2 linked regions of the Caenorhabditis elegans genome follow. The protein of the gene in region 1 purifies or fractionates together with the protein of each later gene. This does not show direct contact. Each region holds a gene or a part of one and is shown on either strand. Other genes may lie near its edges. The genes, in order: utx-1 and wdr-5.3.

Region 1 (8,006 bases):
TTGATAATTAGTTTTACACTTAAACCCATATAAACTTTAAAAATACAAGTGAAACTATTTCAGTATGATTTTTTTCAGATCATGTCAAACTGCGCTGCTCCTGTCACCGCAATATAAAAGATTGACAAAAATGCGGATACTGCCTTCTCTATACTAATAAAACTTCCGTTTATCAAAACAACAGTTTATTTAGAAAAAATTAAAGCTCGAAATAAAAAAACAATCCATGAGCTAACAATCCCACGTTTTGTAAAACATGGCAGTCAGTTTGAAAAAAAAGTTCAACAATAAACAGGAGATCAGATAAATTGAGGAAATAGTTTAAAATTTGGGTTTTCACAGTTTTGGAAGTGTATCGAAAGAGGGACACAAATGAACTAATTGAGAAGATTGAGATAAGTGAACGAGACCTTTTGAGCTTTCGCCAAAAATTGAAACGGGGAAATGTTTGGGGTGAGGGAGAGAGGCACATCAAGTGGAACAGGTTTGTGAAATAAAATATGCAATGATTAAAACGTCCTAACTAGAACTTTCTAGGCAGTGAAACTCATCTTATTGTTGTTAGCTGCGGGTATATATTTCATGTTGTCGTAGATTGAGTACAAGTCGGTGAACGAGAACTGCTGAAGAGCTATGAAGCCTTCGATTCCTTGCCTGAAAAATCACATTTTCTTTTCGAACCACTATAATTCTGAGTGAGGTTCCGCAAGTACTTGTGTATTTTTTAAAAGTAACTTTTCAAAAATATACAGAATCACGTGTTGAATGTTTTTGTATTTTTAGGCATAAAAAATAACCATTTCTAAGCCCAAAACGTTCAAAAATTTTGAAAACTTACGATTTAGCACAGTATACACAGAAGACTGTAAACTTTCCGCCAATATCCTTCACGAACAAAATACAAAACACTTCACACTCGCACGTCATACAGAAATGGGATTGTTCTCCACTTGTTCGAGTATGAGCTTTTATGGTTTTCTTCTGAGACACGATATAATCGGCAACCATTCTCAGGAATGCAAGTGATCTGAAATAAAGTTATTACAAACTTGATTGTTCTTCTTAGGCTACTCACCTAATCAATACACCTTTGCAAGTATTGTAGATGAGCTGGTTGGTAAACTTGACATTCTTTGCTACTTGCCAGCACATTAATTGCATTGGAACTTCACTCTTAAATCGGCGCAGCTTGTTGTATTCGTAGCTGAGCAAAGAGATGCTCAACTGTTGAAAGTTGAGTGGCGCCACATTCCAAGAAATGTTGTTGCACCATCCCGAAGCTTGTACCCAATGAATGGCTCCGCCACTCACATATACCATGTCTCCAGCCTTCTGTGTGAAACGGTGCACTGGAATTCCTGCATCTAATAAGTCATCGATAATAGGCCAAAATGTTCCAGTCAAAAGATCAACGCCATTCTTCTCGCACAACTTATGCATCTTTCCCCAATACTCGTATGGAACGGCAAACCATTCACAGTCACCGGGACCAATGTTTATGTTGATGGAAGCCATGTGATTGCTATCCTGATGAGCTGGTGTTCTGCAGCCAGGAACTTTCATGAAAAGCTTAACAGTATTCATGCCGTGAACTTGGTGCCCCAAGTGGGAGAGCATGTTTGAGCCGGCGATGAGGCGACAAAAAGCAGGAAGTTTAGAAAGTTCCTGAAAAACGGCAGTTGTGTTTGGTTTTAAAATATGGAGCAATAAAAAAACTTACGTTGATCTGTTTTCCCCATTTAGTGTCATCAGATAAATCAATATTAGTTCCATATTTAATAGACTTCAGATGTTTCGGTGGAGAGCTGGCTCGCTTATACAATTTCATTCTTTTAGGAGAAGGTCCACGTGTTCCTCCCACATTTTTCTTGATTTTCTCAGCTTCACCCTTTAGCGTGTGCTTGAACGATTCCGATTGATACTCGGCATACTTGTTGACTGTTGTGTACGAGGGATCACTGACACATTGCCATGTCTGTTGACTTGCATGATCACAGTTCGTTTCTGGTGGTAGTTGATACTGAGTTCGGATTTCAATTTCTTGGTTTCCGTCAATTTCTGCCACTGCTTTCGTGGAGAATAGCGACAAATCGAGGCGAAGGCAACCAGTAAGTCCACGAATACAAGAAATAGTAGACCCATCCAAAAACCGTTGTAATTCCAGACTTTGAGCTTCCTTCCTATTGTCCACCGTAAGAATTGGGGTTTTAAGAATTAATGGATGCTTTTCACTCCTTTCTAGCGCCGTGCGTACATCTTCATCTGTTACAATTGGCTTTACGGGACCTCGTGGTGGCTCGGGTAACTTCGCAAATTCTTCAAACACTGGTAGGTATGTGGAGTTTGGCTGAGTTCTTCTATGAACCATTTGCATAATTTCCTGAGCGCTGATATCCATTGAAACATAGAGCTCCGAGAGCAAACTGAAACTATCCGGAAGGTCATTAAACGAAATTTTCGGTAAGAATGGGAAGCTGTAGCATCTCGGCGATTCAAGTAGATGCCCATGGTCGCGAAGGTTTTGGATCATTTCCTCGGTGACACGTGGCATTTCACGAACGGCTTCCGGAATTACGTATTCAATAACTTTTGCCTGAAAAATTTAATGTTTTTCAATAAACCATTTAATAATCCCTATGGTTTTCAAATGTTTCAGATTACAGAAAAAGTGAGTCACAACTTTAACTTTCAGTTCTGATCACGCTTCAGTTATTCAGAATATATTTTACATGCGACAATAGAACATAGAAAAGCTTTATAATTAGGCTCATTGCGTCTACTCAAGAGATTTGTGCAACAGATACGCTATGAAATTCTCTCGTTTTTTTCCTTTTTTAATGTTAGAAGCAACACTGGCGGCCGCCCTGGCAGCAACTGCATCATCACTTCCCTTGATGTACTGGCATAAATGTATAGCTATCATACACTAATGAAAAGAGTATGACTTCTAAGCCGTGTTTGGCCTTTTTTGCTCGCATTTTTCACTGGCCTGTGTTTGTCAGCTATTTGAGCTCTTATTACCTTAAACACTGCCTCGCTGGTTTCCAAACACTCAAGAACTTCTCTCTCAGCTTTTACTAAAGCTGGTTCGTTGGCACGAAGCAACTGCATAACCTGGATTTCGAGATCTTCCATTGGCCTTGGATACGTTACATCCCATTCCATATCTTCCGGCTTTTCATGCTCCATTGTTCTGAAATCTTCCCAAAGATCCCAAAACGCGTTGTCATACTGAGCTTCTCTGTCCTAAAAATTGTGGTTTCAAAAAAACGCACATGACAACAATCACTTACAGCATAGGCAGCGTCTTGACGATTACGAAGCTCTAGAGGTATTGGCTGCTCATAAGCTTCTTTCAATGAAGGTATCACGGTTTCAAATGTTGATGACGAGGCGTGATTTGAGGGACGTGCGGGCACAGGCATCGAGAGTTCTTTTTCAAGAAATTGTACACGAGCTTTGATTGGTTCCGGAGCAACTGAAATGTCATGATAACATTAGTTTGTTCTTTAAAAAATCTGAAATCGTTAATTACTACTACTCACTCAAAACAGCCTCTAGCTTTACATTTAACCTACATTTACAAGCTCACCTTCCTAAAACTTGAAAAACTCAAAACTGCAATGAAATATATTGTTTCTCTTTTTAATGGATACTGCGTTTCATTTGTCACGTCTTCTATTTTATTAAACATTTTCAACTTGGAAACACTTACAGTGTGTATTGCTAATTTCAAAATGAATGTTGTTTGTTATCAGAGCTTTCTTAGAAAAGACCATTACAATTGAAACAACTTGGTTTTTTTCTTAAACATTTTTCAGTCGTTGTCATAAATGTTGTCATACTTCCTTTAAATATATTTTCCAATCACGTGGAAATTTTATCTGGTGACTAGAGATTAAGCAGATTAGTTGTGCTTCTGTTATATCCTTTCATTTCTCTTATATTTTCGTTTAAGTTTACATTCAATGTTTGGCGATAGCAAATTTAGCGACACCCATTCTACTATAGACAGGCAAGTATCATTGGCTGATAAGAAATGAAGAAAATCATATTGAAACTGATTCATTCACAACATTTTTTGATAGAAATTTCAATTTGGTTTTTCCAGAAAAGTTATAATTTATTTATATTCTTCTACTTTTTCTTTCAGGAAACCATCAACATACCTGGATTGTTCAGCATTGCATTTTTGAAACACTCCAGCGCATCTTGGTACTGGGCATTTTTCTCATAAAGCTCTCCGAGATCTGTCCATGCCGCAGAATGTGTTGAATTCAGCTCAATTGCACATATGAATGCCTAAAACGTGTTCAATATATTAAAAATTGGAGGCATTTATTGGAAAGATTGGGGTGGGCATACGCCATTGTTTTGAGAATTGCTCTGATCTTGCACACTGTGCACATTGTTTCCAAAAACTCTAATTTTGATTCCTGAACATACCTGAAGAGCATCAATGGGTTGATTTTGTCGCTGATACAGAGCTCCAATTGAGCACCACGTGTCCGCATTCTGCTCTTTTTTGTCAATCGAAAACCGGTAGTTGACAAACGCATCGTGTGCCTTAAATTCAGGAAGAATTAAATTATTTTCCTAACGTTTTTTTTTGAAAATTAGAGGTTAATAGAAATAAAACAAGTTATTTTTTAAGATTGTTAAGGAACAAAATGAACACAAACCACTTGTCCACTAACACTAGGCTCGTGTTCCCCGTAGACTCGTCCCAGATAGTAGTAGCTTTGTCCATCTCGTGGATCTGTATCATGTGCACTAATGAGATTCTCTTGGGCCTTCTTCAAATGATCCAGACGATTTGCATCGTCTTTATAAGAGCGGCGATATGAAATCCAGCCAATTTGTCGCAAACATGCTGCTTTCACACTTATCAATAAGTCAACTTGTTGTTGATCCACATTCGACTTGCTTTGTAAGAAACTGATGTGTTGTGTTAACTGAAATTATTCGATTTTTTTTTGTTTTTAACATTGTTTGGTGATACTACTCACTTCAGTTATTAGGTTTTCATATTCTGATTCTGCAATTTCAAGCTCATCATTATTCTCGTGGCTCAGAGCAATGTTGTACTTAATTGTGAATTTCGGCATAAATACTGACTCATCACTGTCGTTGACGGCAAGTTTGAACAGCTGTAAAATATAATAAGTTTATTAAATAACTGAAAAGATTTTACGAAATTTTACGCATTGTAAAGTTTCTGGAGTATAGCTTTTTATTGCAAAAGCATGCGTATTCTCGGTCTTTTGATCTAGCTTTGTAGAGTATCTAGCTAATTTTCCACAACTAGTTGTGGGAAAACTGCCAGTTTGCTCGAGAAAGCTGATGGTAAGACTTACCAAAAGTTTAATTAAGAAAGATTGTAGAAACACTACAAATTTTAATAACGCATTGAATGCAATTAAAACTTGTTTTTTTTATGTCTCAACTTATAACTTTTTCAGATCGTTTTCTTAATACTTACATTTATGCATCTGTTGTAATCTTCAAGTTCCATGTAACACACTCCAAGACGAACTTTTGCTTGCAATGCGATCATACCGGTTGGAAAACTATATAGCAGTCTTGTGAATGCCTCGATTGCACTAGAAGATTTTGTTTCAGATTATTCACAACAAAAAAACAAAAACTCACGGTTTCCACTGTTTGAAATGCAAGTAGACAAGACCTAACCCGAAGTACATCGAAGGATCATGTGAGAATAGGTCAGGATGATGGCTCAACACTTCTTGATAAAGCTCCAGTGCTCCGGTCCAATCATTTGCCAAAAGAACAACGTGACACTGTTTCGCCAATCCGTAGAAAATGCGCCGTTCGATTGTCTTGTACTTGTGCGTTTTATAAATGCTCTTCATCTCATCCACATATCTGACAAGGTATTGGCGGGCTTTTGCAAAGAACAATCTGACTTGATAAGTGAGATCGGCTGGGTTTTGAACGTGAAACTCGTCGAATGATAAACTGAAAATTAAAAAAATATTTACTTTATTGCAATCTTGTGACAATTTTTCAACCTGCTTAATGTGCGAATCCTTTCCAGTTCATAATTTGTCAGAAGGGGCAGTTCCAGCCATTTTTTAAAGTTTCCAGGCTGAAAAATGAGAAAATTTAACTTTTGCGCACTAAAAACAAGTAATCCTTACATGACGCTCCTCCGGCAGAGGTTCTGATTCGTCCATTGGCGGTGTGAGAAGCGATACGGTGTTCATGCACAAGACTTTTTGGGAATTATACAAATCTGGAAAAACTGCAGCGATTTAGTAATAATAAAATACATACACATAAGAGAATTGTAGGAAACATAACTTGGAGAAATCTTAATCAAGTTTTGACAAAGAAAATAAGCACAAAAAATCAATTAGAGCACTGTGAACTGGTCAATACTGTGTCTTAATTCAAATAGTATGGTTTATTAAACAAAGATCAACGTTAGAAACGGAGTATCGTTGCCATTGCCGTGCGTTCGCAGCCCGTCTCTACTGTGCCTGTTTGGCGAATGGTGGAGGGGGAAATGGAGAGGTAGTGCTCGGTATACGGACGCGCAGACGGTTAGAAACGCTTGGGCGGACAAGGAGTGGGTCGATGGTGTGCGCAAGTATGGATTGGGGTCGTCAGGGGGCAATTTGTGGAAAGGGTGAATATATGCAGATTTCGCAATACCGCACAAAGTGGAACTGAATCTCATTCAGAAATTTGTAAAATCGAGAGAACATGAGTTATGAAAAATTCCATGCTAAGAATATTGTCAAGCTACTCTGCTTTATTCTTCAAAAATATGTAAATAAAAAACTAACACAAATCTTGAACAATATTGCCAATAGTAATAGAACTTTGGTATCTTTATAGTTTTTTGAAATGTCTTTTTCACATTAAGTTTTTGATCCACTTTGTTTGAGAGCAACCAGTACATTATTGTGGATCTTGTTGTAGAAGTTATTACTTTAAAACCTGAGCTTTTTGAGATTAACAACAGGAAGACCGCTGGAAAAAAAAGTTACAATCCAAGATTTTGGACAACACAAACTGAGTTCTTGTTTAATTTCAAGAAAATTTATTTACATCTAGGAAAACAGTAAAGAAAAAGAGATCTCGGAAATACGCAAGAGAGAAGAGCAAAGTAAGAAAACTGATGGAAAACTTCAAATATCTCCAAGCACTTGATTCTAACCGGAATGTACAAAAAGTTTAACAAAAAAGGAAATGAAAGAGGGAAAAAGGGAGATAGAGAGCATTTAAAATCTTTTCACAACCAAATTATACAAGTGAAGTATCTCATGTAAAACTGAAAGAAAATGAAAAAGAGTAGATTGTGAATGGGGGAATGGGCGGGGATGAAATTTAAATTTAGGTTTCTGATTCACATTTACAAGTATTTTGTTTTTTATTGATAGATTTGTTATGCCATAGAAAAGTTTTGATTCTCAAGTTTGAAAAATCCGGGGAGCAGGGCAAGTTTTTCAGGTCCGATGAAGATAAAATCCGAATTTGTATTTTCACCAGTTTGGATCGCCGTTAGAGGAAAAGAATTCCAGAAGATTATGACACCGTTTCGAGATGCTTGGCTTGTGATGAATAACATTGTAGTCAGTGGAGCCGGAGTGAGAATGGGCATGACCAGCTCGGCGAGCTTTGATACGATCGTTGGTCGTCACTCCTTGCGAGATCTATAATAATTATTGTATTTAATTTTTTGTAACAAGAATGAATAATTTCTAAAATTGAATTACCGAATGTTCTCTATTAGTAATGTGGCTGTTGCTATCAATAACGCATTTAAATGTGTCCACGAAAATTTGTGTTCAAGTCTCTAGCAATCCTAATTTTGTTGGAAATGCCAATTTCAAAGATTTTCATTATTTGCAGTTCAATTGTCTTCTATGTATAATAAAACTCCTAACAACCAATTAACAAAAAAAACGTCAATAATTAATTTATTTTTAACAACTTTTTTTAAATCGTCACCTAACACAATAGCTGTTTCATTTGAA
Region 2 (4,749 bases), on another chromosome or scaffold:
TTCCATTCTTCATAGAAACGCGCTCTACAGCCAATTGAAAACGCTCTGCCCCCAGAATGATGGATCCCGTTAGGTATTTAATGGCAAAACGGTGAAAAATATAATTCCTTCAAAAAAACCTTATTCACCTTTTCAATTTTTCAATTTGCATTTTCATTTCTTTAAAACATTATTTCGGCCTAAAAACTATTAGAAACAACGGGAAAAATAGCAAAACGATGAAAAACGCTTGAAATTAGAGAAAAAATTGAAAACGTTTGAACTTCTGGGTTTCCCGCCAATGCCTAACGAGACCAATGGTTCAAGGGCGGAACTTATTGAAGTGGCCGTGGAGCACGATTTCAAAAGGGGCATTTTTCTGCGTCTCCATAATAAACATTTTGAACCAAGAAACACTATTTTCAGAGTACTGGAATTGTCGTAAAACCGCATCCAATTCTCATTATGAACAACGATCACTAATTTATTTGGATCGGGTTGTATCTCTACAAACTGAGTATCTAAACTACAAAGCGGTAGGAATGTCGAAAAATTATTCTAAAAATCTTAGAATTTTAAGAATCGAAACGACTCTCGATCTCCATCACAACTTGTGAAAAAGATCAAGGATGCCACTATGAAAGCAGAAGCTTACGAGTTTTTTATGGTAATTGCCCTTTGCATTTTACTAGATTTTGAATATGTTTAACTTCAGGACGATAAAAGAGTTCGGAAAGTGATCGGTGAACTGAATGAGATCGACTCAAAATTCAAAGAGAACATTGGAGCATGGCTCCTACAACAACTGAAAATCGATAGTTCATTGAGCCATTTATTGTCAACATAGTACAAAATAGAAATAGTATATTCCTTGAATAAATATTTAGTAATGTGATGAGGAGGAGATCTGAATTGATATCGAACCTTAAAATATGCTACAAGAAAAGACAACCGAGATCATATTTCAGTTGATGAAAGAAACGGGGAAAATAAAAAACCATGATACAAATGAAAGAGTTTGAAAGTGCAGTCAGTGCTATTTTCTATATTTTTAATTCTAGTTTCGACGCCAGATTCTAATAACGTTGTCGGGCTCTAGTCCACCAGAAGCAATGATGTTGAGTGTTGGATGAGAATCCGTTGCCAAAACGGGAGTAGTATGACCTTCCAATATTTGTACGATTTGTTTTGTTTGAATACTCCATACAAGTATACGTCCATCTTCAGAACCACTGATGATATGCTGGAAATTGGGGCTTTGTTGTACGGAAATTCTTTTTAACAAAATGGACATATTTTTCAAAAAGTTGAACGTTCGAAGCTGACTAGATCTACACAAAATTACTATTTAAAGAATGGTGAAATTTTTTTATTTAAAAATTTATGGCCGGTCAGAATTAGAAAAAAAAACGTCAAATTTCGTTATTTAAAGTCCGAAATTTCGCCCATTTATACTTGTTACAGTAACCAAAAATTTGGATTCTAATTGAGTTATCATTATATATTGCATATGTCGGCCGTTTATCTATTTTATTTGTCTTTGTGGCCCAGGCTTAGTCTTCGACACTTTCAAGATCTTTAAAAAATTTACCTTTCCAAGTGGGACCGACATGTTTGCAAAAAGGCAATATTTTTTGTTTTTATGACCGTTGTAATATTTCAATGGTTTCGCCTTTTTTGGATCCCATAGCTTGAGACTGCTGAAAAACAAACAATTATTCACTTTTCCATATGTTACTTCATATTATTTTTTACCTGTCAAGTTGCGCCGATAGCAAATATTTTCCATTTGGTGAGAAGCATACAAAAGTAACGGGGGCATGATCTGTATCGACAAGTGTCTTTAGACAGGAACCACTAGCTGCATCCCATACACGAATACATCCATCATATGATGAAGTAGCCATTGTATTTCCATCGTGATTGTACGATATAGATGTAATTGGATCCGAATGAGCAGGAATACATTTAACACAGAGTCCAGTTTTGAAATCCCAAACACGAACTGTTTCATCAAATCCAGCAGATGCGATCAATGATGATTGAGGGTTGAAACTGCAGCAGAAGACATAATTAGTATGACCACGCATTGTTCTTAGACAAGCTCCACTGATAACATCAAATATCTTGACAGTAGTATCATCAGAAGCTGATGCTATGAACTGACTATTGGAACTCCATGAAAAATCGTTTATTCCTAGTTGATGACTGGCGAGCTGAAATAAAATACATAACAGCTGCATGAAAAAGCCTACTTACAGTTTGCAAGTACGTCATGTCAACGGTGTTCCATACTTTTATTTGCTTGTCAGCTGAACCAGTTCCGAGATACTTTCCGCAATACGAAAACTTTATCACAGATACAGACTTAGTATGTCCCGAAATCGTTTTTACTAGCGAAAATTCACCATTTTCAGGCTTTTTGGTGATTCCAGAAGATGATGTCGTAGGTGCGACTGGGTCACGTGGAGGTGCAACTTGAATGGTGGATGTAGGTTTTGTAGTGATAGAAGGAGCAATCGGACCTGTCGTTCCCTCCGCAGATTTCGTTCGGACTGAAACTTCTGATGGATTTCCTTGAGAAGTTGTTGAGCCGGCAAATTGCGGAAAGAATCCGGGAGGTCCCAAAAGTCCGACGGGTGATACTTGAACACGATGTGGCGTAAAACCTGGTGGTGGTGGAGGGTAGATCACTTGTTGCGGTAATCCAAACGGCTGCTGGAATGCTATTGCTAATGGGTGAAATTGTTGTTGATGCGATTGATATGGATAGCCTGGTGGATTTGGATGTGGTGATTGATTTGATGGAGGGCGCGCAGTTTGAGGAACTCCGATTGGCGGTGTTGCTACTGCATTATAGTGATTCCAAGCTGCAACCTGATATTTCTCAGTCTAAACAATGAATAAAATCTGACTCACTTTTTGAAATGCATCTGGAACAGCTTGATTGGATTCCAACATGCGAGATTGTAGACTCTGTTGATTTGGCGTAGGAACAGGCTGAAACGGCACATTTTTCGGCGATATTGTTTCCTGCCGCTCGGGATTCATTTCTGCAATATAGAAAATGAATATTAAAAAGTGATTTATTCAAATCTGGTCAGCAATTGAATAAGAATAATAAGTGCGAACTGATGAAAATACTGAAATGACAGCCTATTTTGCAAACAAAAACGTTTTGGCGCCGAGTTTATATGTTGTTCGAGAGGAGTACATTCTCAGAATAATGTCGGCCACGGGAAAGGTTTCTAGGCCAATTCAAGTTTTCACGCGCGCAAACTATTTTTTCAAACTCATTTTTCAGTTTAAAGTCCGAAAATATAACTCTCTCACTGTAGAACGTATTTTCATAAGGTAAAATTCTTCCGGAAATAGAAAATTGCAAAAAATGCTAACGTTTGGTAGCGCTATGCCGCTAAATATTTCTGAAACATAAAGTTTCTTGTTAAATTTCGCAATTTTACAAATCGTTAACATTTATTCAATATTTCTTTCAGAGCCATGTGTGGCAGTGATGACAGTTTTGACGACTTTGTACCAGATAGTCAAGAGCCAGCATCTTCGCGTACCCGAAATCAGGTATTAAAAAAATTATTTTTAAAGATTAAAAAAAAAGTGAATGTCAATATTTTAGGATCATCTCGACGATGACGAGGTTCCCTGCTCACAAAGGCCAGATGCTGCCAACGACACTATGGTTGAAGAGTACGTTGTTTTGATTTTGACGAAAATATCACAAACATTTATTTCAGTCTCGACGAGGGAGACGAGCCAGCTCATGACGAATCTGAGGACATCATCAAAATTCTCGTTGCCACTGATATTCATTGCGGTTATGGAGAAAATAAAGCCAACATGTGAGTTTTATTGGAACATAAAGTCTCAAAAAAAATATCAAATTTTCAGTCATATGGATGCCGTCAACACTTTTGAAGAAGTGCTTCAAATTGCCACTGAACAAAAAGTCGATATGATTTTACTTGGAGGAGATCTTTTTCATGAAAATAATCCATCTAGAGAAGTTCAACATCGTGTTACACAATTGCTCCGTCAATATTGCTTGAATGGGAATCCAATCGCGTTGGAGTTTCTCTCAGATGCTTCTGTCAATTTTAATCAAAGTGTGTTTGGTCACGTGAACTATTACGATCAGAATTTGAATGTCGGTCTTCCAATTTTCACAATTCATGGAAATCATGATGATCTATCAGGAAAAGGACTTACTGCTCTTGATCTTCTTCACGAATCTGGACTTGTAAATCTGTTTGGAAAGCACAGCAACATTCAGGAGTTTATTGTTTCACCAATTTTGCTTAGAAAAGGAGAAACTCGTTTGGCGTTATACGGAATTGGAAGTCAAAGAGATGATCGTCTTGTTCGAGCATTCAAAAATAATAGTATTTCATTTTTGCGGCCAAACGCTGGCGCCGAGGATTGGTTTAATTTGTTTGTCCTCCATCAAAATCGTCCACGGAGAGCCATGCACCGATCGACAGGAAACTTTCTTCCCGAATCTCTGATTCCTCAATTCTTTGACCTTCTTATTTGGGGACACGAACACGAATGTAAACCTGATCCTCAATATGTTGCTTCATCGGAAGCTGTTGGTGATGGATTTTACATTCTTCAACCAGGATCGACTGTTGCTACTTCGCTCACTCCGGAAGAAGCCCTGCAGAAAAATGCATTCCTAATAAAGGTATAAGATTTAACGATTTTAATTTAAATATAACTATCGGTTTTTAGATTAAAGGAAGAAAGTTTGCTTCA

Evidence for each region.
Region 2: the proteins of utx-1 (region 1) and wdr-5.3 purify together in Caenorhabditis elegans (affinity purification with mass spectrometry, with the first as the bait; one study listed by BioGRID). This does not show direct contact.

The regions. Positions count from the first base shown.
Region 1 is NC_003284.9:8,555,401-8,563,406, reverse strand, and holds utx-1 (JmjC domain-containing protein), read right to left. Parts: upstream 6,257-8,006; 5' UTR 6,228-6,256; coding exon 6,162-6,227; intron 6,110-6,161; coding exon 6,033-6,109; intron 5,980-6,032; coding exon 5,653-5,979; intron 5,604-5,652; coding exon 5,483-5,603; intron 5,151-5,482; coding exon 5,010-5,150; intron 4,956-5,009; coding exon 4,683-4,955; intron 4,567-4,682; coding exon 4,447-4,566; intron 4,303-4,446; coding exon 4,170-4,302; intron 3,479-4,169; coding exon 3,294-3,478; intron 3,247-3,293; coding exon 3,022-3,246; intron 2,594-3,021; coding exon 1,721-2,593; intron 1,666-1,720; coding exon 1,076-1,665; intron 1,028-1,075; coding exon 839-1,027; intron 655-838; coding exon 534-654; 3' UTR 172-533; downstream 1-171. Other genes in the region: dhhc-14 (Palmitoyltransferase), read right to left, coding at 7,512-7,682.
Region 2 is NC_003283.11:10,735,399-10,740,147, reverse strand, and holds wdr-5.3 (WD repeat-containing protein wdr-5.3), read right to left. Parts: upstream 3,033-4,749; 5' UTR 3,031-3,032; coding exon 2,899-3,030; intron 2,857-2,898; coding exon 2,239-2,856; intron 2,196-2,238; coding exon 1,735-2,195; intron 1,680-1,734; coding exon 1,571-1,679; intron 1,223-1,570; coding exon 1,037-1,222; 3' UTR 827-1,036; downstream 1-826. Other genes in the region: ZC302.3 (uncharacterized protein), read left to right, coding at 406-515, 560-646, 695-826; Double-strand break repair protein mre-11, read left to right, coding at 3,481-3,558, 3,614-3,684, 3,732-3,836, 3,886-4,678, 4,726-4,749. UniProt on the Caenorhabditis elegans protein: Not required for methylation of histone H3 'Lys-4'.